Callithrix jacchus: one gene and its partners. The protein of the gene in region 7 purifies or fractionates together with the protein of the main gene of each other region. This does not show direct contact. Links are inferred from orthologs where the notes say so. Each region holds a gene or a part of one and is shown on either strand. Other genes may lie near its edges.

Region 1 (3,801 bases), on a different chromosome or scaffold from region 7:
TTATGGTTTGGAAATGGGGAGAATAGATTCCCCTTAAACTGCAAGTCAGCAGGTGTTTCTTTACAGTTAACTTTAGCAAAATTCATACAAAATAGTAATTAACAATGATCTTCTTTACTTGTTAACTCACAAGGAAACACCTTCAAAACTGCATTTTGTTAAAGTTTCTGTACTAAAATGTAGAAAAACTGAACTACACAAATATTGAAAAGTTAAAAATTCCTTAATTTTTTATTCCTGGTACCACTACCACAATTTACAGGGCAATATACCTGATGTAATGAAAAGAAAAAGAAAAAGACAAAGCTACAACAGATAAAAGACCTCAGGAATGTACATCTAATTGACACTACATTGCATTAATCAATAGCTGCACTTTTTGCAAACTGTGGCTATGACAGTCCTGAACAAGAAGGGTTTCCTGTTTAAGCTGCAGTAACTTTTCTGACTATGGATCATCGCTCCTTCTGTGGCAGATTTTTACAGTTCCTCTAATGCATTTGGGACGACTGTCTCAAAGTAACCTGCAGCTTTCCTGACAACTCCTCGCTCTCTCTCCTGCTAAGAACTGTAGCCTGTTGAATAATACAGGATAAAAAAATTATTACACTCAGTGAACAGTTCCACATATTCTTTATCATCATGACAAAAATTTAAAGATACCTACCCTTTTCTGCTGCTTTTAGAACCTTCTGCTACCATATCCACCACTTCCACCACCAGATCCATAACCACCTAAAAATATATATAATAGATCCATAACCACTAAAAATATACATAATATCTTAAAAGAAGTATGCATTTTTTTTAAATTAAAGACTCTTAAAGAATGATTTAAGAAGTACTTACCACCATAGGGACTGCCCGAGCTTCTTCCACCAAAACTGCCCCCTTTCATGGGTCCATAATTTGATTGCTGTTGTCCACTATAATTTCCAAAATCATTATAGTTCCCACCACCACCATAGTTACCTGAAATCAGAAAGGGTTTATGTGTGGTTTACCCACACAATAATCATTTTCCCCTTTTGATGTAACTATTATTGTTTCACAATTATGGTAGCATGCTTACACACATCACTTTGGTAGCACCACTTGGAATAACTGATGTCAGCATATTGAAAGACCATCAACATTTTGTTTGTATTAGATGGTATTCTCTAGGCACATGTTCTTTCTACCATTAACACCATTGAAATTGTCAGTGTTCCACTCACTATGATGCTGCTGCAGTATAACATTTAAAACAATGTGAAGGCATTCTAACTTGTTAAACCTTCGCTCATCTGTCACTGACATGTTAATTAGGTCCAACAAAACAGGACACTCGTAAGGATCTTAACAGTATCCTGGAGTAATGACCTACATTAAAGCCTGCAACATACCTGTGACGTATTGACACAAAGTACTTTTTCTCTTACACCTAGATGGCAACCTGCTCACTTCAACTTGTCTCAGTATTCAAACAATTTACTCCCATTTGTCCATTTAAAAGTACTTAAAAGTTCAGTTTAAAAGTACCTAAGAGTCAAGGTAAAATTCTGGCAATATATAAACTCCCTATCTTTTACATGTATTATTACATACTGGCAAATGACCACTTTTAACTTCTCAACTAAGAGTTGAGTGTATTTTAGTAAACAATCAGCAAAGTCAAGAAAATTTGAATTACCCACCATTTTATTATTTTCTAATATTACAGAACACACAATTTTACCAACTGCTAACTTTTAACACTTGTCAAATATATGTCATGGGAACTGTTAGCAACACTGAATAGTTCACATTTAAATGAAAAAAGTGAATGCTTACCACCACCAAAATTTCCTCCTTCGTTGTAACCATCATATCCTCCACCACCGCCACCATATCCACCACCTTGGTTTCCATATCCTGGTCCACCACCACCATAACCCCCTCTACTACTATAACCAGGACCACCGCCATAGTTGCCACCTAAAAAAAAAACAACAAAAAATAAGAGCACACAAAAACATAAATGTGTAAAGAGTGAAGTTACTCAATTCTGGTGATTGTATGTTTAAGAAACCAGATCTTGGTCTGTTGCCCAGTCTCGAGTATAGTGGCATGACCACAACAATGCAGCCTTGAACTCCTGGGCTCATGCCACTCTCCCACGTCAGCCGCCCGAGTAGCTATACTATGGGCATGTGCCACCAAATTCCCCTATTTTTTCTAGCAACATGGTCTCCTGATGTTGCTCAGACTGGTCTCAAAATCCTCACCTCAAGTGATCCTTCTGCTCCAGCCTCCTGAATAGCTAGCATTACTCAATTCTGGTTTTATATTACATTTAAGCCACTGGCAAATAAGCCAATGAGTTAACACTCTGAAACCTGGTAATACCAAAAAATAATAGAATAGCAAGTATCTAGAGCTAGTAAGAATGAAAATAAATGCTTCAGTTTTCATTTTATCAATCTGCACTAAGAAAAATACAGCCCCAGACTTCAATTCTAGCTCAACTCCTAGTACTCTCTGAAAAAGACCAGTTAATGTTAAATCTCCAGGGGAAAAAGAGTCTCTACTCTTCTATGGCATTAGTTTGGAAATACGTCTTAACCATTAAGTCATTCAAGTTTTAATTAAAATTAGAAAGGTAGAATACTTAATTTTCCATAAGGTAAAGAAAGTTATTAAAATAAACCACCTACCATCACCAAATCCATTATATCCACCATCACCTCCTCCATAACTACCTCTGCTGCCACCACCTCCACCACCATAACCTCCTGAGGAAAAACAAGATATGAATTAAAATCATATATTTAACTTACCAAAACGTTAGGTACATATGTACTTAGAAGATAAACATCCTACCTCTTCCACCAAAGTTTCCACCACGGCCAAAATTACCTCCACCACCTCCAAAGTTTCCTCCGCGACCCATAAAATTGCCAGATCCACCTCCACGACCTTTAACATAGGCAAGGGAGATTTTAAGAATCTTACAGCCACCACTAAAATCTTTTGTGTACATGTGTATGATACTACTCACCTCTCTGTGATCCAGCAGACTGCATCTCTTGTTTAGAAAGGGCCTTTTTCACTTCACAATTATGCCCATTAATAGTGTGGTATTTCTGAACTACATTTTTTTTTTAATCAAACAAAACAAAAAGTTATTTTGTGTTTGGAAAAGCGCATATATATGATACCCTCTGTCATTATGTAACCCATTAAGACATAATCAGGTAGTGACTCTGGGAATGAAGGAGCATTCTGAGATGTTAATGTTTATTCCTTTACCTGGATACTGATTACAGAGTTATTGACCATACACTATAAAGGCTGTTACATGCAACAGAAAATTACAAGCAATTTGGCAAATTTAGTTCAAAACAGAGAAACCACTTTTTTCTCATTTAAGTTCCCATAAATTGCTACTTACCAACAATTTTATCAACTGTATCATGATCATCGAAAGTTACAAAAGCAAATCCTCTCTTTTTTCCACTCTGCCTGTCTTCCATAACTTCTATGGTTTCAATCTTGCCATACTTTTCAAAGTAGTCTCTCAAATTATACTCTTCCGTATCTTCTTTAATACCACCAACAAAAATTTTCTTCACTGTTAGATGGGCACCAGGCTTTACAGAATCCTACAAATCAAGTCATGTATTAAGTCAAGACATAAACTTTCACAACAATTTCACATATTTTACAACATATTATTAAAATACCTCTCTAGAAACAGCTCTCTTTGGTTCCACTACACGCCCATCAACCTTGTGTGGTCGAGCACACATTGCTGCATCCACCTCTTCAACACAAGAATAA
Region 2 (3,801 bases), on a different chromosome or scaffold from region 7:
TTTCTCCCTTTCATTCTTTTTTTCCCTTGCTTTCTTTTTTCTTTCTTCTTTTCTTTTTTCTTCCTTTCTTTCTTAGAAAAAAAAAAATATATATATATACAAAAATTAGCCAGGCGTGGTGGCACACACCTGTAATCCCAGCTACTCAGGAGGCTGAGGCAAGAGAATCACTTGAAAGCAGGAGGCAGAGGTTGCGGGAAAAAAAAAATAGCTAATATAAATTTTTTGATTTAAAAATAAATATTCCATAATATTTATTATGTAAATATTTATTATGTAAACAGTGTAAAATCTTTGGAAAATAAAGGTGGATTACTGATAGAACTTCTTGGTACTTAATTGGTGTTAAGTAATATCATTTTAAAGAATAATAGATGTCTTGTTGTTACTTATGACTTAGAATTCCTGCTAAATAGAAAGCATTAAAGATTTTTAGTTCTTACTATCCAGCCTTTGAAAGATTAAAGTAGTTATCTTTTTAAAACACTGATAGTTTATGATATGACCTGTAATTTGCTAACTAGAGCCAGGACTTGAATCTTAACTGCCCGAAACAGAACTAAGGATTCAGGTGGCTGATGCATAGTGTGTTTGTATTGTCATCATATGCGGGCATGATATTTTTATGCTTTACTTTATATTGTTCCAGAATTGGTTAAATTTATTTGCATGCTGTCTCTGTATAACACTTTTTAAAACTATGTATAATTTCTGATTTTATATATATATAGTGTATACACTTAAAGCCTTTCCATTTGAAGATAATGGATGGCTAATTAAAATTAAGTCCTTTCCTGAGAGATGAACTGCTGTGTTCTTACTTTTTTAGCTGAAGTATCCTCAAGTGAAAAAGAGGAAGATGTATTCATGGGAATGGTTTGCCCATCAGGTACCAACCCTGATGACTCTCCTTTATATGTCTTATGTTGTAATGACACTTGCAGTTTTACGTGGACTGGAGCAGAGCATATTAACCAGGTAAGTTATTTTTACATTTTTCGGTATTAATCATATCTTTATGTCTTTTTTCCCTATGACTATCACTAGACTTTCAGTTTTCAGCTTTGGAATTGTTAGGTCTGGTATAAAGAAAGTTGATTTAATTCCTAAGTAAATGAGGCAGAAGAGCTGATTGCTCAGTTAAATATGGCATATCATGAAAATTTTCACTGGGTAGTATCTGATCGACAAATTTTGATATAGATATTATAACTGTAAAGCCTTTTTGGGGATGGTGTATTTTTTTCTGTTTACATACAGTTATAAACTGTGTATTTGTTGTAGTTCTTTATAACGCCTAGTTTTCCAAAGCACATAATTTTGTTTGTTGAGATTGAGTTGTTTCAGAAAATACCAGAAATAATTAATGATGATGAGATATATGCATACTTTTAATTATTCCTTTAAAAGTACACTCTTAATTTTAGGATATTTTTGAGTGTCGAACTTGTGGCTTGCTGGAATCACTTTGTTGTTGTACAGAATGTGCAAGGGTTTGTCATAAAGGTCATGATTGCAAGTGAGTACAATTCTAGTTTTCTTTAGTTTCATACTATGAACTGTTTAGATTTATATTGCTTTGTGGAAATCTATACTAAGCTATGTTTTAATTCAGAAAGCATGAGATCACATTTCCCTTGTTTAAGTCAGTTTGTGTGTATATGTGATTCTTGATTTCAAGTATACTTTGAAATGTTTGATTTCTTTGCTAGTTCTAATGTAGCCCTCCTTAAATAAAAGTAAGTGATTATACATCGTACCTAGGATCAGATTAGTCTTTTGAGAAATAGATCTACCAAATGTTCCTGAGTGTATTATGCAGCAAATTCTCAGTCCCCCTCTAGTAGGGTATACTAGAAGAAAATTGCCATAGGCCTTGAGGGAGTCAAGGTGAGTGTTTGAACTGTGTCTTAGTTACACTGAATGCAATAATCTTTCATTCAGCAACAGTTACCACAGCTAGTTCTGTTGGTTTTCACAAACCTAAGAAGCAACGAAATACCCTAGCATTAACATCTGGGATGTTTTAGGATTATGGATAGGGACATCAGTATAAATGGCTGCAAATGTTATAATTAATAGAGAATTGGACTGTAAAAACCATCTACCATGCCATTAAGTAATTGTATAGGACAAGTGAAAAATTTTAATGGACATTGCACTGCTTATTTATAATTTTTGTTAAGAGAATTCTGGTTGGTATTTTTGTCTTCCTTATTTTAAGCATCTAAAAGTATAATAATTGTTTATTATTGATTTTTTGCCAAGTGTACTAGATGCCAGGGTGGTCATGAATAGTCCTGACAGTGTTCATAGTCCGATGGGAGACCACAAGCAAGAAATACCTGCCAGTAGGTTTACAGGGCTCATTAGATGCATACAGGAGGACCACTTGAACGGCATTTGAGTTCATGAAGAGATTGCAAAAGTGGCTATACCTGAGTCTTTTTTTTTTTCCTTTTTCTTTTGAGACGGAGTTTCGCTCTTGTTACCCAGGCTGGAGTGCAATGGCGAGATCTCGGCTCACGGCAACCTCCGCCTCCTGGGTTCAGGCAATTCTCCTGCCTCAGCCTCCCCAGTAGCTGGGATTACAGGCACGCGCCACCACGCCCAGCTAATTTTTTGTATTTTTAGTAGAGACGGGGTTTCACCATGTTGACCAGGATGGTCTCGATCTCTCGTGACCCACCCGCCTCGGCCTCCCAAAGTGCTGGGATTACAGGTGTGAGCCACCGTGCCCGGCCTATACCTGAGTCTTAAAGTACCTCTTCTCATAGGAATGAGAAGTTGCTTTGTAGACGCCATTACCACTGAGTGATCCTTTTTGTTACATAAGCTTTGACAGTTATACTTTGCATTTAGAAATTAACAAGGGCTCTCTGTAGTTTCAGTGATTTATGCCTTCATAATGTTAACATAAACCATTGTATATTTTAAAAATTCAGTTTTTGTACTTGTGTATGAATTCTCTGTAGACTCAAACGGACGTCACCAACAGCCTACTGTGATTGTTGGGAGAAATGTAAATGTAAAACTCTTATTGCTGGACAGAAATCTGCTCGTCTTGATCTACTTTATCGCCTGCTCACTGCTACTAATCTGGTCACTCTGCCAAACAGCAGGCAAGTAGGATTTTTAGGACAATTTGCAATAAGTTAAAAAAGTGCATCACACCAGAGTAGCTTTTCAGCCTCCCTCCTCACAGCAGTGTTCTGTTTTGCAGGGGAGAGCACCTCTTGCTATTCTTAGTACAGACAGTCGCAAGGCAGACAGTGGAGCATTGCCAGTACAGACCACCTCGCATCAGGGAAGATCGTAATAGAAAAACAGCCAGTCCTGAAGGTGAGTAAATTAGACATTTATGAAACTTGTGGGAAGCAATATGTTTTATTTTTGTTTTGCTCACTTACTTCTTTTTCATTTTAGATTCAGATATGCCTGATCATGATTTAGAGCCTCCAAGATTTGCCCAGCTTGCATTGGAGCGTGTTCTACAGGACTGGAATGCCTTGAAATCTATGATTATGTTTGGGTCCCAGGAGAATAAAGACCCGTATGTATTCATTAAATCCTTTTCAGATTTATGTATTTCCTAGGTGAGTGTAGACTTTTTACCGTTCATTCTGTCTTTCCTTCCTCCTCAAGTCTTAGTGCCAGCAGTAGAATAGGCCATCTTTTGCCAGAAGAGCAAGTATACCTCAATCAGCAAAGTGGCACAATTCGGCTGGACTGTTTCACTCATTGCCTTATAGTTAAGTGTACAGCAGATATTTTGGTAAGTTCTTTGAATGTGTATTACAA
Region 3 (3,801 bases), on a different chromosome or scaffold from region 7:
TGCCTATTTCTTAAGAGATCCTAAAACCATTTCTCCCAGGTCAGAATAAATGAAGACACAGGCTTTAAATCCAGGTAGAGTCAAAATTCCAAAAGATTCTTATCTGGGTATGTGGCTGAATTTCCATTTCCTAAGTGAAGCAGGATTTGTCATGGTGAGTTTGCTATCCACCAACTTACTAGATGACTAGAGATTTCAGAGTATCCTATTTTATTTCTGTGCCCAGCAGATTAACTTTCAGAGGCTGAGTAACTTGCCCACAGAGCTAAGACTAACAGTAAAGGTTCCTAGAACCACCTAGTTGGTGTTAACTGCCTTTCAGATATGAAGCACAGTCCTAATGCCCTCTGAGGCGATGAATACAAAGGCTGACAATTACAGAGTGCCTACAATGTGCCAGTACTCGTGTGTGCTCTCTATTAACCTATTTAATGTTCACCATCACCCCCATGAAACAGTTAGTGGCAGTATCTAGAGCCAGGAGCTTAATCACTAGACTATACTGCCTTTCTCAGGATATGGTCAGTCCACTCCATAAATAAGTACCTAATTCCATAATTAAGCACCTGGGCACCAAGTACTATACTTCGAAAACAAAAAACACCTATTCACGCAAAAACCACCATCAGAAAAACTGCTTTTACTCCAGCCATGTGACAATGCATGCTGAATTGCCCCAGGATCCTACCTTGTGGCTAAAACATTAAGCCAAAAACCTAAAAATTAAGCCCTTAAGAGTAAAGTCAAGAGACTGATACTTTTCTCAACTTTGATATAGAGCAGACAGTGCTTCTAGTATCTCCATCTTCTCTGCCCCTCATGTGGGTCCATGTCTAAAAGCCCAAGATTTAAAAAAACAAACTAAACAGAACACAAGCCTATTCCCTGGGCAGGTAGACAGAATAGAGATCTACAAATCAACCTTTAAGCTTCCTGAATTCAAGAAACAACTTATTCATTTAGATCAAAATTACCAAAACTTCCAACCAGAAACTAGTTTGTTTTTGTTTCCTCTCTGCCCCATCACCTTTCAGAAGGTGCAGAAATACTCACAGGCAAGCTGGAGGGTCTTGACTGAAGGCTCAGGTTCATATCTTCTTGCCCTCCCTTACTGGAGGTCATCGAGGGGGCTGAGGATGCCTGAGACCCAAATGAATCTTGAGATAGCTCCTACAACAAGAAAAACAAAAGCTGTGATGGCCTGGTATTGATAAACCAGGCAAGCTTACTTCATGGTGAAAGCTTATTGGACTGTTTCTCATGAGTGTGAGTGAAAGCCCAATTGCAAATAATAGTATCTGAAGACCAGAAAAATCCAAGTCATGGCTCTAAAGATGATCAATAGTGGACTCTTTCTGATAGAACTGTCACCCATTTATTGCTACCTACAGAGGGCTATTTTTCGGGGTTAAATGCTAATGTCTGGTCAACTTCAAGTTAAATCTATCAAGGAATGAGACCAATGAAACCATAAAAATCATGCTAGAACCTCTGCATTAAAATGAGTACTGCTTCCTTCAAAGACATCACCTTGAGATACTTATTCCAACAATGCCACCAATACATAAACTTTTTAGTGGACCTGTCATCACTCAGTCATTTTTCTTCTTTGGGTTCTATAAAGAATAAAGCCCTGAATGCTATTTTAGGCTCTATTACCTATGTCTTGTTCACCAGACATAACTCCAAATGAATTTTTGGTATTTCCCCAAATCAAATCCACCCTCAAAAAATAAGATTTGCCACCACTGAGAATATGCTAAAGAATGTGATATCAGTTCTGGTGGCAATTCCAAAGGAAGGGATCCAAGTATTTTGAGTGATAGCAGAATGGAATGGCAAATGGACTGAATGTACGGTACTGCCTCTCAAAGTGACTGTTTTGAAAAAAGACAACTCACTTGGATGCTCAAGTTCTGATACTGATTTAACAAAAAACAACAAAAAAAACCAGTCTCATTATCTTTAATTTCTTATCCATCTATGAAACTTTCCATTGCCCTATTTCTTCATCATTAAGAAGAGCTATAGGTCTTTATGTAGTTAAGAAGGTTATGCCTTTATTAGTTCAATCAATCCAGTTAGCATGTTTACTCAGAGTTTAATTGGTCTTTAAGTGCAAGTTAGAGAACCACTTTGTATGGCAAAGTTCTCATGGTCACACACAGGGAAGGGCAGGAGGCAGCGATATCTTACCTGTGGCGGAGGGAAGCGCTGCTGGGAATAGGCAGTTTGCTGGGACTGCTGAGACTGGGGCTGAGGATATGCAGCCTGCTGGGAGAGCGACGAGGGTGCTGGCTGCTGAGGTTGCTGCTGCTGGTAGGGAGACTGAGCCTGTGGCTGTGAGTAGGGGGGCTGGCTCTGGGGGTGCTGCTGTGTCGTGGACTGCTGGGAGGGGTATGGAGTCGGGGACTGCTGATGTGGAGGCTGGGATGGCTGCTGGGAATATGGAGGCTGAGAGGGCTGGAGCTGTGGTGGCTGAGACTGCGGCTGCTGCTGATATGAAGGTTGGCCATGAGGGGTCTGGGATGGTGGTTGCTGGGAGTAGGGTGGCTGCTGCTGCTGAGGGTGAGGACTTTGCTGGTTGTAATATGGAGTCTGGCCCTGTTGACCATACCCACTGGGGCCTTGTTGTCCATAAGGAGGAATCTGTAGGAAAGGAAAAAAATACTTTTAGTACTGTCTCGCCTGAATGAGGAAACATGAAGTGTTTTGTCAGAGCTACATGCTAAGGATGAGTATAGAAAGTAAGCATGCCAGGCCCTATACTTAGGAGGCCCAAGGTTTTTCTCTCATCCCTGCCTAAACTGAGCCAAGGAAGATGGCCAAGCTGGGTTTTTAGGTGGTTTGTTTACAAGTGGACTACACATTCATCCACTGAAAATTTACACTATTTACCATCTGGGCAACTAACATGAGTTTAAGAGCAGCTGTTTCTACAAATGAGCCTACTCTTTTTGTCACAGCCTAGACTGTTTTTATAAGTGTTAGGAATCTGTAACCTAACCACAATGAATAGTCAACAGCAGCCTGGTTCAGCCAGCTGAAAACCTAAGGTTTAGTAATTCAGACTGTATAAATCACTAAGCTACTTCGGTTCTCTCTTTCATTTAGTCTTCATTCAAAAAAATATTTGAGAGCCTACTCAATTACTTGTACCAGGCACTATTTTAGGCACTGGGGATATATTTAGTAAGCAGGCAAAAAAAACAAACGAAATATTACCTCATCTCTCCTCTATTAAACGAAGAGACAATTTTCTATATTAAAGGGCATACTTTAAAGTCTTAGAAGTAAAATTTGATTTTATATTCTCTCCCTCACTATTTTCAGTGTGAGTAACATTCAAATATGAATGGCAGAAAACTTTGTCAACACAAAGAATGGCAATAAAGAGATAATGATGTGAATGGTCCGACAAAAGGAGATGGATAAGGGGAAATCTTAACATTTGTAACAATGAGGTTAACATCTTTTCTGTTCAATCTTCCCCTTTTCTTCTACCCCCAGTAACATTCATTTTGAACCAGATGGCAGATATGCTAAAGGCCTTCAGAAACATAAAGGGCCTCTTCTATCCACAGGGCACATGGTATGAACAGTTTTCTTAGTAGTAGAAGTGCCTAGGTGTTCAGCCACTGCCTTTCATCCCACCTCATTCAGAGTTCACCACTCACTAGGTATAAGCTGGCCAGTCAGATCAAGAGAAAAAGAGATATGTACCTGTGACCAGGGAGTAGCTTTCCTTGGAGCACACATGGGATGGTACCCACAGCAGTGGCTTTGTTAGTAGCACACTGT
Region 4 (4,600 bases), on a different chromosome or scaffold from region 7:
CAGAATTTCAATTATAATGGCTTCACGGCATTTTAATGTCTGGCAGAGACTCTCAATTGTCACAGTATCCAGTGATCCCATCTTCCTGTTTGAAACCAGACTCTCTGACTTTTCACCCGGGCCTGTGGTTGCCCATCTTTTTGTGAGTCTGCTGTAGCACACATGCATATAATGGTAAGGACTTTGACTTCAGCTCTGAGTGAAATGTGGAGTCATCGCAGGGATGTGAACAGAGGAGTGATGTCTTGTAGACTAACCTGTAACTATCTGCTCATAAGGAAAGCCTGGTAAAGTGCAAGGCAGTTCTCCAGTCAAAGAACTGACTGCTAAGTAGTCCCAAGACTGGAAGTAAAGCTGCTGTACAAGATAAGGACACTAGGCCACTGGAGAACTGGGCAAGGGGCTCTCCTTTCCCTCATCTCAAATTATTCTCAATGTTTGGGGTTGTTTTGTTGTTGTTGCTGCTGCTGCTGCTGTTGAGATAGGGTATTGCTCTGCTGCCCAGGCTGCAGTGCAGTGGTGTGATCTCAGCTCATTCTAGCCTCAACTCCTGGGCTCAGATGATCCTCCCACCTCAGCCTCCCAAGTATCTGGAACTACAGGCACATGCCACTATGCCCAGCTAATGTTCTGTATTTTTTACAGAGTCAGGGTTTTGCCCTGTTGCCCAGGCTGGTCTTGAAATCCTGGCCTCAAGCAAACCATCCATTTTGGCCTACCACAGTGCTGGGAAAACAGGCATGAGCCACTGTGCCTGGCCTAAATGTTTGGTTTTTATCGACAAGAAAGGGAAAAGAAACTGAAAGAAGCCTGATGGTTTCCGATCCTGATTTTATGAGCCAGGATGCTGTGCTACTTCCACAGGTGTTTTGTTATATTTTTGCAGTTGTTTTCTTGTCAAACTTTGAGCTTCCTCACTGAAAACAAATTTCAAAGTTTCACCTCATCCACTGTAATGGCCATGAACTTATTTACTAATAATATATGGAATAAAAGCACAGAGCTTCATAGAAGGCGGACGTCACTATGGAAAGATGCCCAGTTAGAACTACTTTTCAAAATATTACAGGTATGCAAGATGAAAAACTCAAATAGGGAATACAAAGCTACAAAATATACTTGAAGACTGCAGTTATATCCGGCCAAGGCAGTAATGATAATTTCTGTTTTCTTTCCTTTTTTTTTCTTGAGACAAGGTCTTGCTCTGTTTCCCCGGATGTAGGGCAGTGGCACAATCATAGCTCACTGCAGCCTACACCTCCTGAGTTCACACAAACCTCCCATCTCAGCCTCCTGAGTAGCTAGGACTACAGCTGTGCACCATTACACCTGGCTAATGTTTAATTTTCTTTTTTTAATTTGAGGCAGAGTCTTGCTCTGTTGCCCAGGCTGGAGTGCAGTGGTGTGATCTCAGCTCACTGCAACCTCTGCCTCCTGGGTTCCAGTGATTCTCCTGCCTCAGCCTCCCCAGTAGCTGGGATTACAGACATGCCCCAGGCTAAAGTGCAGTGGCCCGATCTCAGCTCACTGCAACCTCTGCCTCCTGGGTTCCAGTGAGTCTCCTGTCTCAGCTTCCCCAGTAGCTGGGATTATAGGCATGAACCATCATTCCCAGATAATTTTTGAATTTTTGTATTTTTAGTAGAGACAGGATTTCCCCATTGGCCAGTCTAGTCTCAAACTCAGGTGATCTACCTGGGTTGGCCTCCCAAAAGGCTGGGATTACAGGCGTGAGCCACCACACCTGGCCTAATAAATTTTTTTTTTAAGGTTGGGATCTCATTATGTTGCCCAGCCTGGTCTCAAAGTGCTGGGATTACAGGCATGAGCCACCATACCCACCAGTAATGATAATTTCTATTGGTCACAACTTTGGTTTAAATTTTCTAGTAAAACTTGAAACTCATAAAGGTACTCATTAATTGAACTACAAAAATAAGCCATGCCAATAAGCAAAATGGGGAGAAGCTTGTAACTCTAATCACAAGAAAAGTGGTCATTTCTTTAAAATATAAATGGTTCTTATAAACCAAAAAGAAAATTTCAACAATCCAAAAGGAAAACTTCTGAATTGAATTGACACACAAAAGATATGACAGTTCACTCAAAAAGGAAAGATAAAGATACTAAGCAATAAATTCAAAATTAAATCAAAGTAAGATACCAGTGGCACAAACCAAACACTTTGCTGACACTGTGGGGTAGGCTATGGCAAATTCATATATTGCTTATGAGGGTATAAATTAATATAACTTGTTTGTATTTTACTTTCTCAGTAGCTCAAAAATTTAAAAGAACCTACGCTTTGGCCTAGTGAATCCACTCTAAAAAATTATCTCACAGATATGGTTCCTGTGTATAGGTTAAATGAAAGACATTCATTCACTGAGCACTATTTATAAAAGTAAATGACTAAACCATCTATGGGTCCATCAATAAGATTCTGGTGAAATTATGTTTCATCTGTACACTGAAAAAGTATAGAGCAGTTAAAAAAATAAGATAAATATATATGCACTGTCATATTCAAATCCTCTGCCACTGTAAATGAAAAATATAATCTGCATAACATGAATAGTGCAATAACATTTATGAAAAAGGTATATTTGCTATATCTTTGATATGCATTTATTGCATAGAAAAGGTTTGCAAGGATGTAGACCCACTTTTTAACACTTCCTTTAAGAGGAATGGGATAAAAAAGTTTAGAATTTTCCCCCACTTTTCTCAATATACATTTACTTCTTTCACAAGGAGAATGTATGCACATGTTACATTTGTGGACAGAGAATAAAAATAATAACTAAGATAAGTGTATCAGTCTCACAAAAGCCTTACCTGAAACTGCTACTGGGTGAACCCCAAGAAAGGTAAAAATCTGTCAGTCAGGACACGTGGTATTTCTGTGCCATTTGTGTGTGGGAGAAACACCCAAATTCTCCCAATGAATTGTGAGTTCCGTAGGAGAGGCACGCGTTTGATGGCCTTGAAGAAGCGTTCCTTGTGTTTGCTGAACCCCTGACAGCCCAGGCACGCCTCAAACAAATTTCAGATTCGTTGGGCTACCAGGCCAACCACGTGCTCCCAACGCCTCTTCCGCTTCCGGGCGCGTGGCCGGAGCTCTAGCAGACTCCGTTAGAACGTCTCCAGGAAACCGTCGGTTGGGGTGGAGATTTGCGCCCCACAGCTGCTTTTTCACCTGATGTCCAGCCTGTGCTTCCTGGAAATGAGCTTCTGGTCTCTAAGGTATCGGGGCTGCCGGACCAGAGCCTGGGGCGAAGCGGGAGCGGGAGTCGGCGCCAAGGAAGAGTAACTGGACAACTGGCCTGAGGCGAGCCGGGAGTCCGAGCGGAGTCGGTCCAAATCGGAAGGGAAACCGGAGCCGGGCGGAGCCCAGACAGCGCTGTTCGAGGTCTGCGTCCAGCCCAGTGGAGCTCCGGGTGTGGGACAGGGACCGAATCGAGACGGGGCTGGGCGTCATGGCAGCCCTGGGAGCGGCAACCGTTGCTGGAGCAGGGGCCGCAGCCACCCCGGCGTGGGAGGGGAAGGACGCATCCCTGCTGGCGCGAAACCCTGAGTCGGTCGCCGTCGACCCGCGCCGCTGCCACGCCAACCGCCTGAAGGGCCAGCTGTCCCGCACCCACCAGTGGCTGCGGTGGCAGGTGGGCCCGCACCCATGATCCTCCTTTGGCGCCCATGATGCTGCCGGCTGCGCTGGGCTCCGGCTTCCTCTACCTGCCCAAGGACAAGAAGACCTGGAGGAGCCGTGTACAGCCGCTGACAGCCCGGCCAAGGCTGAATGGGCTTCTTACAGGGCCATTTCACCACCACCGACTCCTACCACTTCTCCAGGAGGAGCCCCAAGGCCAATTTCGCCTCCATTCTGGTGGTCTCCCACAGCAGCTCATAGCTGGAACCAGACTTCTTTGCTGACGTCAGTAAATTACACAGCGTGATGCAGGATCTGCAGGTCCCACAGGGAAACGGAAGCCAGATCCAGTACGAGCAGTTGTCCCTGAAGTACCAGATGCTCTGTGTGTCCCCCAACCCACTCCTGCATGCCTGGCAGGTGGACAAAACCCTTGACCTAAGCAGCATCACCTTCCCCATCTACAACCACAGCGGGCATCCCCTCTTCCTGACTGGCTTCTTTGGAGGACACATCTTGGGGGACACTAGGGATGGGCCAGTTACTCCTGCGGGCCAAAGCCATGTGGCTGCTATACTACCTGAAGACCGAGCACCCGGACGTAAGAGCAAGCAGTGGCTCACCCATTTCCTCCACCAATTTAACATTAAAAACTATCTGGCTGTGAAGAAAAGTGAGGTACCTGGCAGTTCAGGTTTACAAGGAGGCCAGGAGGTGGCAGGGATGAGAAAGACTTGCTCCGGGAACCATAACAAAAGCACTGCATGTCTACTTCAAGGGGTCCTTGCCTCAAAGCTGGGTTTGCTCTACTGTATTTGGTACAGAGAGTAGAGTATCCAACTCTCTGAAATTAACACCTGCAAATGCCAGGAATGGTGAATTCTTGGTAATGTTCAAGTCAGTCGATAACACAAATCCTGTGTCCACCAGATGGGGCTGTTCAGTACAGAC
Region 5 (4,287 bases), on a different chromosome or scaffold from region 7:
TTATTCCAACTTGGGCATCATTTAAATATAAAAGCATAGAATAATTTAAATTGGTTCACAGTTTGACTTTGGAGCATACAAGACAAGACCCAGGGCCAAATGAGGGCGGGGGAAGGGGGGAGTGGGGGGGGGTCGGATTCCTTGGACCTTGCCTAATCCATATCATCCTACACAAGAGCCTGGCCAAATTCAAACCTGGCTTGAGTTTTAAAACAGACTCTTATTAATTCTTCTGAATATTAAACCTCACCAGAAAAATAAGTAATTAACGAGATTCTTAGAAAGTGAAATACTCAGGGCTGCGGTGGCTCACACGTGTAATCCCAGCACTTTGGGAGGCCAAGGCAGGCGGATCACCTTAAGTCAGGAGTTCAAGACCAGCCTGGCCAACATGGTGAATCCCCGTCTCCTCTAAAAATTCAAAAAATTAGCCCGATGTGCTGGCAGGCACCTGTAATCCCAACTACTACTGGGGAGACTGAGGCTGGAGAATCACTTGAACCCAGGAGGCGGGGGTTCCAGTGAGCCAAGATTGTGCCACTGCACTCCAGCCTGGGTGACAGAGCAAAAGCAAGACTCTGTCTCAAATACAAATTGTAATAATCTTACCCTTTAAAAAAAAAAAGTAAGAATTTCCAATTCCCTATTGCATAGCCTACAGTGCACTGAAGTTCTTTATGGTGCCTGGCCCACAATGAATGGCATACAAGTCTCTTTTGAACGGCAATGATTGATTCCCTTATTTCTCATATCTTTCACACTATCTTTGTATACTTACATGGAGGCTAACATGTTTGTGTTCGTTAAGAATACTAAAAATTAAAATGCAAATAGCAGCTAAAAAGACAACTAAATTCTGCACATCCTACTTTGTTTTATTAGGCTTATTAGCCACTCTCACTATCGACTCTCAGACCCAACCATAAACTGATTATTTATAAATAACAATCACATTATGGCCCAAATGTTCAATGAAAAATATTAATTCTAAATCCAGAATAATGTACAAAAAAGCAGAAAGGTGAATAAAGACATTATTTTTGTGGAGGAACTAGAAACTGTTAAGTCTAATCAATAACTTTCCTAACAGTTCCAACTTCTAGCCCTATCATATTTAATAACACCAATTCAGACCATCTTCAACCCTGATCTAAATCAACTTTCCTCATTATGACTGTGCAAGCAGCCAACTTCCTACATGACTAATATTTGCTCAACAATTTCCTCAAGAGAAAAAGCACAAAACACTACCAGTTCTTAACCAGCTAACAGCAATTACTTCTCATAATCCGACCAACATCTAAAACTCAATAATTCCAGAACTCTCAAGCAAGACAATCGACCCGACCTTTCACGTAATGACTAACCCCTCTATCCCAAATGTCATGACTAAATACTACTCTATCATTCAAGATGCCAACTATGATGACAAAATGTCGATACCTAGCATTTCTCAAGTCAGAAGTTTCAGTATACTGTCATCCAGTAATTACAATTACATCTGACACGGGGATGTTATTTAACAAATGTGGTTCTCTCTTTTCAAGACACTTAGCGGAGAAGTGAAAAATCTGTTAACAGACTTTGACTACAGAGGTCTCAACAGCAGATTCCTAAGTGGCCCATCCTCAGAAATGGAAGAAGAGAGATATTTACACATACATACGATGGGTACTTAGTATTAAAAAAATGTATAAGACATCCATACTTATGTTTACAGCATCATCTATCAAACTTAAACAAATTTTGACCAACTCCATCCTCTGCATTCCAGGAAGCTTAGTCCTCTCCACTGACAAATTTAATTCATCTAAGTACTGCTGATTGACTGGGTGCTCAATTCATCACAGAGTCGAAAATTTTTAAGACCCAACGTCTTTGCCCAACTTTGTTATCCAAAACCATTTACTTGACCTTCCACCCTCTTCTATTCCCTCAACTCTCTTCACTTCCTCCTCAGCAACACTTACCTGCCTCTTTATTATCCCCACCCTGCGTGGACACTCCAACATTCCTACACCCCACCAACCAGGAGCTTGAATGCAAACAAACGCTCAAATCCCTCTACAGACACCACCACAGCACCAGTATCCCAAGCCCTCCAACAAGCCATCCCCACACCGGACCCCCCGCCCCCGAGCCTAGGCGGCAGAAACTCATAATTTAAGGACAAGAAGGCAATGCTCTTCAAACCCACCATACGAAGTCGTTGCTTTTGTCCTCGTAGGAGTTGATGAGCCCGTTGCAGAGGGGGGCGAGCAGAGGTCGCTTCCTGCTGCCGCTGCCTAGGCTGGAGCTGCTGCCTCCTACGCCGGCACTGGGCCTGGCCGCGCAGCTGTGCCGGGACAGGCCCGTGGACACCGCCCCGCCGCCGCTGCCCGACACGGCGGGCGCCACCAACACAGGCCGCACCGGGCCCCCGAGGCCGCCCGAGCCGGCGGCCTGGGCCGCCCCACCCGACACCGGCGCCGCCGCCGAAGCCGCCACGGAAGGCGGCGACGGGGAAGAGGATAAGGACGAGGAGGCGGAAGTCACCGAGGAGGCCGCCGAGGAGCCGGGGCTTGTCCCAGCGGAGCCCGACCCGGCCTGGCGGCTACCAGACATCGTGACTCCCTCCCCTCCGGCCGGGCGCTCGGAGGAGAGGGACCGCGACCTCGACCCTCCGCCGACTCCCCTCCCCTCAGCCCCAGTGCATCTTAAGGACGCCCGCCGCGCCGGGAGGTGGGGCTGAGGAACAATAAAGTTGCGTTTTTTTAAGGCAGCCACACCACGGCGTCCGACGGGAGGGGGCGGAGGAAACTAAAAAAGGGGAGTAGAAGGCACAACAGCTGTCCAGGCCGCCGCCGCCGCCGCGGTCCCCGCCGCAGCCAACCCCGGCGCGCCGTGGCCGACCGTGCGCGCGCGCGAGCGGCGGAAGGGGCGGGCGCGGCGGGGTATACAACTGTGGACGCAGCCGGGCTGCGCTAAGACACCCACGGCGCGCCCTCGGGGACGGGGCTCCCGGGCAAAGGGAGTCTCTCCGTCCCAAGCCGTTTTCTTTCGTTACGTGCCAGAGGGCAGGCCGTCTTAACGCAGTGAAAGGGCTGAGGAAAGTAGAATGAATGATAGAGGTGACGGAGTGGTTTCAAAGACGCTGATGTAGGGGTAGAAACCCTCAAAAAGTGGCTGCGCACGCGCGCGCCGAGCGTAGAAGCTCACGGGTTAGCCAGGGTATCCGCCCCAAGCGGAGAATATCCGCGCAGGCGCAGAGCGGCCGGATCACGCAGGCGTACGAACGCACCGCGTTCGCGAACTGGAAGGAGCTGTGTCTGTCTCCTGAGGAGTAGGCAGGTGCTTCCGAATCGCGGAATGAAGATGCTGTAAGCAGGAAACACACGGAAAGAACCCAGAAGTTTCGAGCGGTTGCAAACAGCACTGCATTGAGCCAACGCCTCCTCCTCTACTGAAGGTGATTCCACAGCTTTTTGAGGAATAAGTTAAGATGAAGTCAATGAAGTTTTCTGCAAATTGCAAACATTGTAGCAGGTGTTACCAATTTTACTAGTTCGACCACGACTTCACTCCTGTATTTTGAAAAGCTGTTTGCCACATTGAACATAACAATAATGGGAAAACAGATTTTACTCAGTCTGATATAATTCTAGCACGAAACAAGGAAACCTAGCATTTAATACCACCCGAAAATATGCTATTTCTGGTAGGCTTTTTTAGAATATTGAAATTTGATTATAGGTGGGCACGGTGGCTCATGTCTGTAATCCCAGCACTTTAAGAGGCGGAGGGTGGTGGATTCATCTGAGCCTAGGAGTTGGAGACCAACCTGGGCAACACAGTGAGAACTCGTCTCTGTAAAAAGTACAAAAAATTAGCTGGGCATGGTGGCAGCAGGCCTCTAGTCCCAGCTACTCGGGAGGCTGACATGGGAGGATTGCTTGAGCGGGGAAGGTTGAGACTATAGGGAGCCGGGATCACACCACTGCACTCCAGCCTGTGGGACAGAGACCCTGTCTCACAAAAAAAAAGAAAAAAAAAAAATTATTTGCCGCATTCTAAGGGGTGGAAGTCAGAAACAACTAAACTGTGTGATTTAATCATTCTCAATTCAATCATTCTGTGATTCTTAGATATTTATTTGGGAATAAAGTATTGTGAAAATTCTCATGACTGAGTAAACTACATATTCAAGGAGGTAAAGGAAGACAAAGGTTTTTAAAATTTTTTTAAGTGAGAATTACATAATTGTTTTTAAATCATTATCCTTGGCTGCAAAGATCAATAACAAGGTAA
Region 6 (4,445 bases), on a different chromosome or scaffold from region 7:
AGGCGGAGTTTGTGGTGAGCCGAGATCGTGCCATTGCACTCCAGCCTGGGTAACAAGAGCAAAACTCTGTCTCAAAAAAAAAATTTAATGTAAAGTGCTCAGACACCAAACATTAAATATAGCTATATTTTTCTTCCATGTTTTTATTTTATTTTATTTTATTTTTTTGAGATAGGGTTTCACTTTTGTTGCCCAGGTGGTGTGCAATGGTCAGACGTGGGCTCACTGCAACCTCCATTTCCCGGGTTCAAGTGATTCTCTTGCCTCAGCCTCCCAAGTAGCTGGGATTACAGGTGTGTGTCACCATGCCCGGCTCATTTTGTATTTTTAATTTTTAATAGAGATGGGGTTTCACCATGGTGGTCAGGTTGGTCTCAAACTTCTGACCTCAAGTGATCCACCCTCCTCAGCCTCCCCAAGTGAGCTACCGGCGCCTGGCCCTTCCATTTGTTCTTACTAGAACTTAAATATTACTATTCTATCTTCTCAAAGTCTCACTTCTTCACAGTGGGTTGTGACTTCGCTGCAATTCCTTTGCAAGATAATTCAGAAGTACCTTAAAAGCCAGGCTCTGGCAGGGCGTGGTGTCTTACGCCTGTAATCCCAGAACTTTGGGAGGCCAAAGTGGGCGGATCATCTGAGGTCAGGAGTTCGAAACCAGAGTGAGCAAGAGGTGAAACCCCATCTCTACTAAAAATACAAAAATCAGTCAGGCATGGTGGCACTCGCCTGTAATCCCAGCTACTCAGGAGGCTGAGGCAGAAGAATCGCTTGAACCCGAAAGGTGGAGGCTGCAGTGAGGTAAGATAGCGCCACTACATTCCAGCCTGGGTGACAGTGAGACTCTGTCTCAGAAAAAATAAAAAGCCAGGCTCAATATACATTAACACTTATCAATGCCACAAAGAATCCATACATCCCGATTTCATTCTTTCAGTGAACCAACATTACCTCAAACACACTTACCAATTTCAGTTTGGTTTAAAGAAAAAAAAAAAAAATTCATCCAGAAAACAGAAGTTAAAAATAAAGAGCGCTCTCTTAGTTAAGCAGTGAGGGGAGACTGAAAATTACAGGGAACTTTTAAGGGTCAATAGTTTTTGACAGTTATCTTAAAAAAGCATAAAAGATGAACACCACATTGGTAAAGAGCCCTTAACTTACAGTGTTGGGAGACAGAACAAAGGGAGGGAGGTAATATTTTCATAACGAACTGTTCATTATATTAACCTTGCCATAGAGTCCAACCACTCATTCAGTGTTGAATGATGGGAATTTTTACTTGCATACTAAAATTTAAGTATCATAAGAAATATTTATTAAAATAATGTTTTAACTAGAAGTGGAGGTCAGACAGCTTTAGGGAAAAATCAGGGCGACTAGGTGATTGGCCAATGCTGATCAGAAAAAGAGCGCTAATCTACAGAACAAAGACTCATTTCTTTTTCACTACTGAATAAAATATGTAAAACAAAGCAACAAAAAGACCAAGACTTTCAGTACAAGCATCATGCAACTTCTCTCAATTTCTGTCCATCTCGTTGGGAAACGTCATGAGAACTACGCGGCAGTCCCTATCGTCCCATTTCAACGTCTCTAGGGTTATTTCACTCCTTCTTCAATGGTGAACCCACGGTGTAAAATTAAAGACAACCTTCAAGCTCAGTATAGCAATTCTTATTTTATCAGCCTTAGTAGGAAATCTGATTCGAAAACCTCAAGCTCCGATCCCCATAAATCGCTCCTTCCTCCCAGCAACTTAAGCTGCGGTTACCGCTAAGTCCGGCTCGGCCCCAGAGACAGCGACGCGCTGGACAGGGCATTCCAGCCTCACCCCACCTCACCTCGGCCTTTCCTCCCACGGCCCCTCCCCCGTTCTGGCTGTCTTCACCTCCCACACCTCGGTCGAGGGGCTCATTGCCACTCGCGATCAAAAAGGCTTCCCCCTCGGGGAAAGGGGGAAATACAGGTTCATTTCTGGAAGAATCTGCGCGCTCGGAGCGCGGGGCAGCCGCAGGAGGAGGGAGGAGTGAAGAGTCGGGAAAGGGGCGGGGAGCTCAGCACTATCCATCAAGATGTTAGCGCTAGGAGATCGCAAAGTCGCCTTCGGGCCTGCACTGCAGCCTAGAAATTCTCCCTCGCACTCCAGACTGAGGTGGGAATGTGGACTCCAGGGTCCCAAAAACGAAGATGAGACCGGAGCTCCCGACTTCCTCGGTCCCGAGGGGGCGGAAGGCGAGAGGAACAAAGCCAGGGCCACTCATGCCTTGGGATGGCCGGGCGACCCAGAGGGACCCGGGAGGCCCCCTTACCTGCCGTCAGCAGCTGCATGGCGTGAGTGAAGGACGGGTCGAGTGAGTCCTTCTCCGCCATGAGTTCGGGCAGGTACTTGTTCTCCGGCTCCATCTTGACCGAGGCTGTGGCTGAGGGGGGCAGCAGCGGGGTCGGAGCTGGCCCGCCCACTGTCGCGTCGGGACCCGTGGCCGAAGGCGGCAGCAGCGGTGGCGGCTGCGTGGCGGGCGAGGCGCGGGCACCTCCGCGGGATCCCCCTCCGCCTCCCCGGGACCGGTGAGGCAGCGGCGGCTGCCGAGACGGCGTCTGACGCACCGAGGGGTGGGCACCTGAAGGGTCCATGGAGCCGCTGCGGCCCGAGGACCGGCTCATGCGTGCGGCGGGGTCGTCCCGGCGCTGCATCGGGGAGGATGTGCGATCGAAGGAGTGAGAAAGCGACGCGGTAGCGGCGGAGGCCCGGGCGGCGGTTGGCGGGGGTGGGAGAGCGGGAGCGGTAGCGACCGAAGCCGACCCTAGCGACCCAGCGAGAGAGAGCACCGGAAATGAGGCGGCGCGCGTGCGCAGCCAGTCACCGGCACCGCCCTTGGGTTTCTCCGCGGAGAACAAAGTCCCCAGTCCAGCCACGGCGCCTGCGCACCACCGCGGCGTACGAAGAAGTGGCCTCCCGACTCCTGCTTTCCCTCCGCGCCCGCCAGGCCAGAATTTGGCGCGCATGCGCGGGAGGCTGCCGGCTCAGTTCGTTTCCTTTTCCACGTGACTCGGCGCTAGCGGGACACGTGGGTCCTTCCCCTTCTGGTTCAGTGGGCGGAGGGGGCGGGGGCTGTGGAATGTCTTTGTCTACGCGCGGGCCCGCCGAGTGTGGGGCGGGAGACCTGTTACTCGCCGGGCCACGCCCTCCAACGGCCGAAAGGCACGGACATTTTAGTGCGCAATGGGGTGGGGTGGTAAGGCGAGTAGCTTGGGGGCGGTCACTGAAGTGAGAAACTAAAAGGAGACTGCGGTGGGAGACCCAGAAAGGGAAGGGAGAGAGAACTGAGGCTGCCTAGGGAGGAAGAGAGGTGGGGGAGAGACAGAGACTGCACAAGGAGAAAGAAAGACTAAGGGAGAGTCTGACGCAGCAATAGCAGGGGAGATGGGGAAGGGAAACCTGGAGGGAGAAATTGAAGAAGGACGGCTTGGTGGAAACACTAAAAGCAATTGGAGGACTTGACCTAAGAGGGAGGGTTCGGATCAGAGACCTGAAGTCTAGCAAAGAAAAGGGCCCCAGACAGCAGGGAACACGAGAAGTCATTGCTAGTGTTATATATATTTCCAGTATTACATATATTGCAGTCGGTTCTAAAACGGTTGCCATTGCTGGTCAGGGAAATCTTAAAAGAAGCAGCATTTTAGCTCTTTTTACATATTTTACTGCTTTCTGTGACTTAACGTTTTGTTTAGCCGTCATTCTTGCCAGTTAAGTGTTTTTTCCGTCAAAAAGTGGGATAGAGACCAGATCCTTAATCGACGTTGGTTGCATCATTAGGATGGCTCCTTCTACCATTCCAGACTGGCTTAGAGAGACCCTTGCCACTACTCTCAAGGCCAAGGTACATACATAGTGGACAATCTTCAACGGCGTTCTCCACATCCTAGAGTGCTATATGCAAGTGGAGCCTTAGGTTCCTACTTGTCCCATAAACCATCAAAAGCCTAGTGCCTTAATTTTTCCTTCCCTCCACAGATTTTTTTTCTTCTCCCATTTAAAGCACTCGAGACTCCCATCCCTTTTCCTTTTGGATCATTTCTCCTAATGAGCCCACACTTTTCCAAAAGTCTTAGGGGACGGGTGCATTGGCTCATGCCTGTAATCCCAGCACTTTGGGAGGCCTAGGTGGGAGGATTACTTGAGGATAGCAGTTCTAGGCCAGCTTGGACAATATAATGAGACTTCATCTCTACAGTTAAAAAGTTTCAGGCCGGGCGTAGTGGCTCACGCCTGTAGCCCAGCTACTTAGGAGGCTGAGCAGGAGAATTGCTTGAACCCGCAGGCAGAGGTTGCAGTGAGCCTGCGCGACTTCATCTCAAAAAAAAAAAAAAAAAAAAGTTTATTTGGAAGTTGTCTTCTGAGTACCTGGAAACTATTGATTTTTGGATGTGAAACTTAGAACCCT
Region 7 (4,364 bases):
CATGAAAAATTTCAGAATTGGATCCTTTCTGGCAACAAGTGGCATAAATCAGTTTTCAGTTTAAGTCCCCATCATGCTTATTCATGCTGCTTAGAAAAGGAGGGGGCGGATTTACAATATATGTCTCTAGTTTCTATTTTAGAAATGACAAAATTTTCAATTTTTCCAGTACTTATTATTCATCCAGCCGTTTCCTTTTCGCAGTTAACATTAGCACACGAAGCTGGACTAGTAATACCGAGGATTTTTGGTCTTTTGCTTTGTCGGCTGAGCACAGTAAGATAATTCCCCGAGAAGTTATGTATAATCACAGTGTTAACCAAATAAATGAAAGACTCAAGAATAATTTCAGTGTCCATATTTCAAAAATTTATTTATCTCAAACTGTGCATAATGGAGTAAAAACTTAAGTTGAAAATGTACCTGTTATAAGGATGGTATTAGTTCAAATATATACATGGATTCTCGGCAGACTGATTCAAATAATACAGAGCCGAATCTTTTTAAAATACAGCTACGGAAAATAAAGGGGGAAAACCTTAAAATATCACAATAAATTTACAGAAATATTACAAACCATAAGAAAATATTTCAAACACAGTAATTTCATGTTTCTTTTTTATCTGAACAAAATGGAAAGTTGGGATTGAACAAAAGCTATTATAAATTACCAACGATGTCAACCTGCATGGCCATTTTTGCTTTTAATAGTAAGTTATAAAATTTAGTACAATCTAAAACTTTTGCCCTTTTAAACAAGACCACAGAGATGGTTTGCCAGTACTTATTCTAATTTTTTTCCTTTTGTACAATTTTTAATTCAAATGTCCAAATTTTAATAGTTTTCTTCTCTCCACGTTTGCAACTGTCCTAAATTTCAGCTGCAGAATCAAAATTCAACAAGAAGCCTCTCCTTGAAAAATATTGGCAAATTCTCAGCTTATAAACAATGGACATTTTGATTGCCATGTTTATCTCGATAAATACTGTACAAAAGTTGCTTGCAAATATTAAAACATTTTTTTCGTCGCTTGGAGACTAGCTCTAAATATTATTGGTAAAGACTTTTGCAAACTTCCTGCAAAGCTCCTCCCGTACCACTAGAACTTTTTAAAAGTTTTTCGTAGCTTTCTTTCCTCCAGATCTATACAAGGTCCATTCCCCCGCCCTCCCCACCCCTCCCCCCTGGTTTTCTCTGTACAAAAATAAGTCCCCAAAAAGAAGTCCAGGATCTCTCTCATAAAAGTTTTCTTGTCGGCATCGCGGTTTTTGAGTGAGTGTGGATGGGATCGGTGTTCTCTTTCGCAGCTGTCATTTGCTGTGGGTGATGAGACTCTTCTTTTTTTTCCTTTTTCTTTTCGAGCATACCGGGCTTTCTCCACGCAGTTTCCGACTCTCCTCTCTGCACCCCTCCCCCACTGATTCCCCTCGCTCTTGTCGGAGAATGCCTCCCCCGTCCAGTTCGCGGTCCGGCCCTCACATGTGCGAGAGCGGCAGTGTGCCGTTGATGGCCGTGCCGGGCACCGGGCCGCTCTGGTAGTGCTGGGACATGTGCAGTCTGCTGGGCGCGGCGGGCTCCGGCACCTCCGCGCCGGGGAGGTACATGCTGATCATGTCCCGGAGGTCCCCGGCCTGGCAGGGCGCCCTGGAGTGCGAGGAAGAGGTCACCACCGGCGGGCTGGAGCTCGCCTCCGACTTGACCACCGAGCCCATGGAGCCCAGCGCCATGCCGGGCGTGCCCTGCTGCGAGTAGGACATGCTGTAGGTGGGCGAGCCGTTCATGTAGGTCTGCGAGCTGGTCATGGAGTTGTACTGCAGCGCGCTCACGTCGTAGCGGTGCATGGGCTGCATCTGCGCCGCGCCGTGCGCGTTGAGGCCCGGGTGCTGCGGGTAGCCCAGCTGCTCCTGCATCATGCTGTAGCTGCCGTTGCTCCAGCCGTTCATGTGCGCGTAGCTGTCCATGCGCTGGTTCACGCCCGCGCCCAGGCCGGCGCCCACCCCGACCCCGCCGGCCATGCCGTTGCCGCCGGGCGCCAGCAGCCCGCCGGGCAGCGTGTACTTATCCTTCTTCATGAGCGTCTTGGTTTTCCGCCGGGGCCGGTACTTGTAATCCGGGTGCTCCTTCATGTGCAGCGCGCGCAGCCGCTTGGCCTCGTCGATGAACGGCCGCTTCTCCGTCTCGGACAGCAGCTTCCACTCGGCGCCCAGGCGCTTGCTGATCTCCGAGTTGTGCATCTTGGGGTTCTCCTGGGCCATCTTGCGCCGCTGCCCGCGGGACCACACCATGAAGGCGTTCATGGGCCGCTTGACGCGGTCGGGGCTGTTCTTCTGGTTGCCACCCGCCGCCGCCGCCGCCGCGGTGGGGTTGCCGCCGCCGCCCCCCGAAGTCTGCTGCGGGCCCGGCGGCTTCAGCTCCGTCTCCATCATGTTGTACATGCGGGCGCTGTGCGCGGGCCCGGCCCGCCGGCGGCCGCCGACCCTCCTCGGCCCGGCCGGGACTTTGGGGGGCCCGCGGGCGGGGGGGCGGAGGAGGGGAGGCGGGCGGGGGTGCCGGGAGCGCGGGACTCCGCAAGGAGAATCAGGCGAGGAACAATTTGGGGGCAAAAAAGCGAGAGAGGCAGAGGCTGGAATCAGGATCAAAAAAAAAAAAAAAAAAAACCGCGCGTTCCCTCCTCCTCCGGCCGGAGCCGCCGCCGCCGAGGATTGTTATGGTTATTTTTTGGAAAGGCTTAAGCCCGGGGCTCAAACTTCTCTCCTTTCTTTCTCCTCTTCTTTCTCTCCGTCCCCGTCTTAAAGAGGCAGCAAACTACTTTCCCCCTTTTGCAAACACTCTCTTCTCTGCCTTGACAACTCCTGATACTTTTTTGAACAAGTTAATAGACAACCGTCCATGTGACGGGGGCTGTCAGGGAATAAATGGGTTTCCCGCGACCAATCAGCGCGCGGCGGCTCCTCCACTCGGGCCCGGCCTCGCCGCCGGGTTTTGCATGAAAGGGGGCGGGGCCTCGCGGGCCGCCGGCGCGGGGGCGGGGGCGGGGGCGGGGGAGGGGAGAGGGGGAGGGGAGGGGATGGGAGGGGCGGCGGGGAGGGAGGCGGCTCCGGGCCGGCCTGCCAGCCACTGAGAAACCTTTGTATCCCCCTCGCAGCAACAGGTCACGCCACACGCCTTTTCGAAGGAAGTGGGTAAACAGCACCAAGACTACGTGGGTTTTTTCTTTTTTAAACTTAACACTGATTTACTTTTTGGTGCAGGGTGCTGAAGTGAGGATGGGACGCGGGGGGCAGCTAAGGTGCGGGGGTGGGGCAGGGCTCAGTGGGTGGCTCGGGGCGACGGTCCAGCTCGTGTTTCTGGAAACCGCCAGTGCAAGGCTGGGTGTGTCATTGTCCCGCCGCCCATTCGCGCAGTGCCCCCAGCTCCTGCCCCTCTGCGGCTCCCACGCCGCGCGCTTCCTCTCCCCTCTTCCCCCGCAGGTGCCGGCGTTCCCGCACGCCCTTCAGACAGGGTCTCCACTAGAAGTTAGGAGACTCGAACCTCGGTCCTCAAAGCCTTCCTTGCTTCCACCTAACGTGCTCTGTTCTTAAACATCAATCCTGGTCGGACCACGAGGCCGACTCCAGAGCTGGGAACCCGCAGGCCTTGGGAAGCTGCCATCTCTCTGTCCCACTCAGCTCTGGCCCAGGAAACCGCAGCTCGCCTTCTTACTCCCAGCCCCAACTCCCACTGGCCTGTCTCCAGTCAACCGGAGCAAAGGGGATGCTCCTACGCTCTCCCCCCCGTTCCCCATTCCCACCCCAGGCCTCCCCCAAAGAGGGGTTTCAGTCGTGCGGGTTTCAAATGGGGGCTGGGGAAAGAGAGAGAGACAAACGGAAGGGCGCTCCAAAGTGCAGGATGGGGGAGGGTAACTTCAACTTCCTGGCATCCCACGGCACTGTGCGGAGGTGGCATTTGGGCCCCAGTCACAAACTCCCTCCCACGCAGGGTTCCCTGGGCGCCAGCAGAACCAGCCCTGGCATTTCCCTCGTGGGTTTCCACCGTGGTGGCCGCTGAGGGGCTCCAGGCCTGGGAGGCGGGGTCCAAGCTCTCCAGGCACAGGTGCAGGCAGCGCACGCAGGGAGCAGGCGGCCGGCACTGGGGCGCGGGGAGCCCGGCGAGGCCCGGGTTAGAGGAGGCTGAGATGGGGGCGGGGGTAGGGGCTCAGGAATCTTGCCTGCCCAGGACCCAAGAGGGTAATTTTAGCCGCTCTCCCATTGTCCCGACGTAAAGATTTCAATAGGTAGGCGCTCAATGCGGAGGGCAATGGCAGCACGTCCGTTACAAATAGGTAGTTTTGTTTCTCTTGTTGTCGCTACACGGAGTCAAACAA

The links.
Region 1: the proteins of SOX2 (region 7) and HNRNPA3 purify together in Homo sapiens (affinity purification with mass spectrometry; 3 studies listed by BioGRID and IntAct, with this or other methods). This does not show direct contact. The link is inferred for Callithrix jacchus from reciprocal best matches to the Homo sapiens genes SOX2 and HNRNPA3.
Region 2: the proteins of SOX2 (region 7) and UBR5 purify together in Homo sapiens (affinity purification with western blotting; 3 studies listed by BioGRID and IntAct, with this or other methods). This does not show direct contact. The link is inferred for Callithrix jacchus from reciprocal best matches to the Homo sapiens genes SOX2 and UBR5.
Region 3: the proteins of SOX2 (region 7) and ARID1A purify together in Homo sapiens (affinity purification with mass spectrometry; 3 studies listed by BioGRID and IntAct, with this or other methods). This does not show direct contact. The link is inferred for Callithrix jacchus from reciprocal best matches to the Homo sapiens genes SOX2 and ARID1A.
Region 4: the proteins of SOX2 (region 7) and SSB purify together in Homo sapiens (affinity purification with mass spectrometry; 3 studies listed by BioGRID and IntAct, with this or other methods). This does not show direct contact. The link is inferred for Callithrix jacchus from reciprocal best matches to the Homo sapiens genes SOX2 and SSB.
Region 5: the proteins of SOX2 (region 7) and COP1 purify together in Homo sapiens (affinity purification with western blotting; 3 studies listed by BioGRID). This does not show direct contact. The link is inferred for Callithrix jacchus from reciprocal best matches to the Homo sapiens genes SOX2 and COP1.
Region 6: the proteins of SOX2 (region 7) and KHDRBS1 purify together in Homo sapiens (affinity purification with mass spectrometry; 3 studies listed by BioGRID and IntAct, with this or other methods). This does not show direct contact. The link is inferred for Callithrix jacchus from reciprocal best matches to the Homo sapiens genes SOX2 and KHDRBS1.

What each region holds. Positions count from the first base shown.
Region 1 is NC_133507.1:52,156,576-52,160,376, forward strand, and holds part of HNRNPA3 (heterogeneous nuclear ribonucleoprotein A3), read right to left. Parts: coding exon 3,705-3,801; intron 3,624-3,704; coding exon 3,413-3,623; intron 3,110-3,412; coding exon 3,020-3,109; intron 2,938-3,019; coding exon 2,842-2,937; intron 2,754-2,841; coding exon 2,676-2,753; intron 1,957-2,675; coding exon 1,813-1,956; intron 973-1,812; coding exon 850-972; intron 736-849; coding exon 683-735; 3' UTR 668-682; intron 576-667; exon of another isoform or gene 1-575. UniProt on the Homo sapiens protein: Plays a role in cytoplasmic trafficking of RNA. Binds to the cis-acting response element, A2RE. May be involved in pre-mRNA splicing.
Region 2 is NC_133517.1:94,643,425-94,647,225, forward strand, and holds part of UBR5 (E3 ubiquitin-protein ligase UBR5), read left to right. Parts: intron 1-829; coding exon 830-978; intron 979-1,427; coding exon 1,428-1,519; intron 1,520-2,975; coding exon 2,976-3,122; intron 3,123-3,223; coding exon 3,224-3,342; intron 3,343-3,426; coding exon 3,427-3,553; intron 3,554-3,645; coding exon 3,646-3,775; intron 3,776-3,801. UniProt on the Homo sapiens protein: E3 ubiquitin-protein ligase involved in different protein quality control pathways in the cytoplasm and nucleus. Mainly acts as a ubiquitin chain elongator that extends pre-ubiquitinated substrates.
Region 3 is NC_133508.1:63,387,307-63,391,107, reverse strand, and holds part of ARID1A (AT-rich interactive domain-containing protein 1A), read right to left. Parts: intron 2,650-3,801; coding exon 2,197-2,649; intron 1,171-2,196; coding exon 1,054-1,170; intron 1-1,053. UniProt on the Homo sapiens protein: Involved in transcriptional activation and repression of select genes by chromatin remodeling (alteration of DNA-nucleosome topology).
Region 4 is NC_133507.1:59,755,863-59,760,462, forward strand, and holds the start of SSB (lupus La protein), read right to left. Parts: upstream 3,079-4,600; 5' UTR 2,839-3,078; intron 1-2,838. UniProt on the Homo sapiens protein: Binds to the 3' poly(U) terminus of nascent RNA polymerase III transcripts, protecting them from exonuclease digestion and facilitating their folding and maturation.
Region 5 is NC_133519.1:26,980,522-26,984,808, reverse strand, and holds the start of COP1 (E3 ubiquitin-protein ligase COP1), read right to left. Parts: upstream 2,870-4,287; 5' UTR 2,605-2,869; coding exon 2,198-2,604; intron 1-2,197. UniProt on the Homo sapiens protein: E3 ubiquitin-protein ligase that mediates ubiquitination and subsequent proteasomal degradation of target proteins.
Region 6 is NC_133508.1:68,626,762-68,631,206, reverse strand, and holds the start of KHDRBS1 (KH domain-containing, RNA-binding, signal transduction-associated protein 1), read right to left. Parts: upstream 2,828-4,445; 5' UTR 2,695-2,827; coding exon 2,313-2,694; intron 1-2,312. UniProt on the Homo sapiens protein: Recruited and tyrosine phosphorylated by several receptor systems, for example the T-cell, leptin and insulin receptors. Once phosphorylated, functions as an adapter protein in signal transduction cascades by binding to SH2 and SH3 domain-containing proteins.
Region 7 is NC_133516.1:9,953,480-9,957,843, reverse strand, and holds SOX2 (transcription factor SOX-2), read right to left. Parts: upstream 2,891-4,364; 5' UTR 2,437-2,890; coding exon 1,477-2,436; 3' UTR 347-1,476; downstream 1-346. UniProt on the Homo sapiens protein: Transcription factor that forms a trimeric complex with OCT4 on DNA and controls the expression of a number of genes involved in embryonic development such as YES1, FGF4, UTF1 and ZFP206. Binds to the proximal enhancer region of NANOG.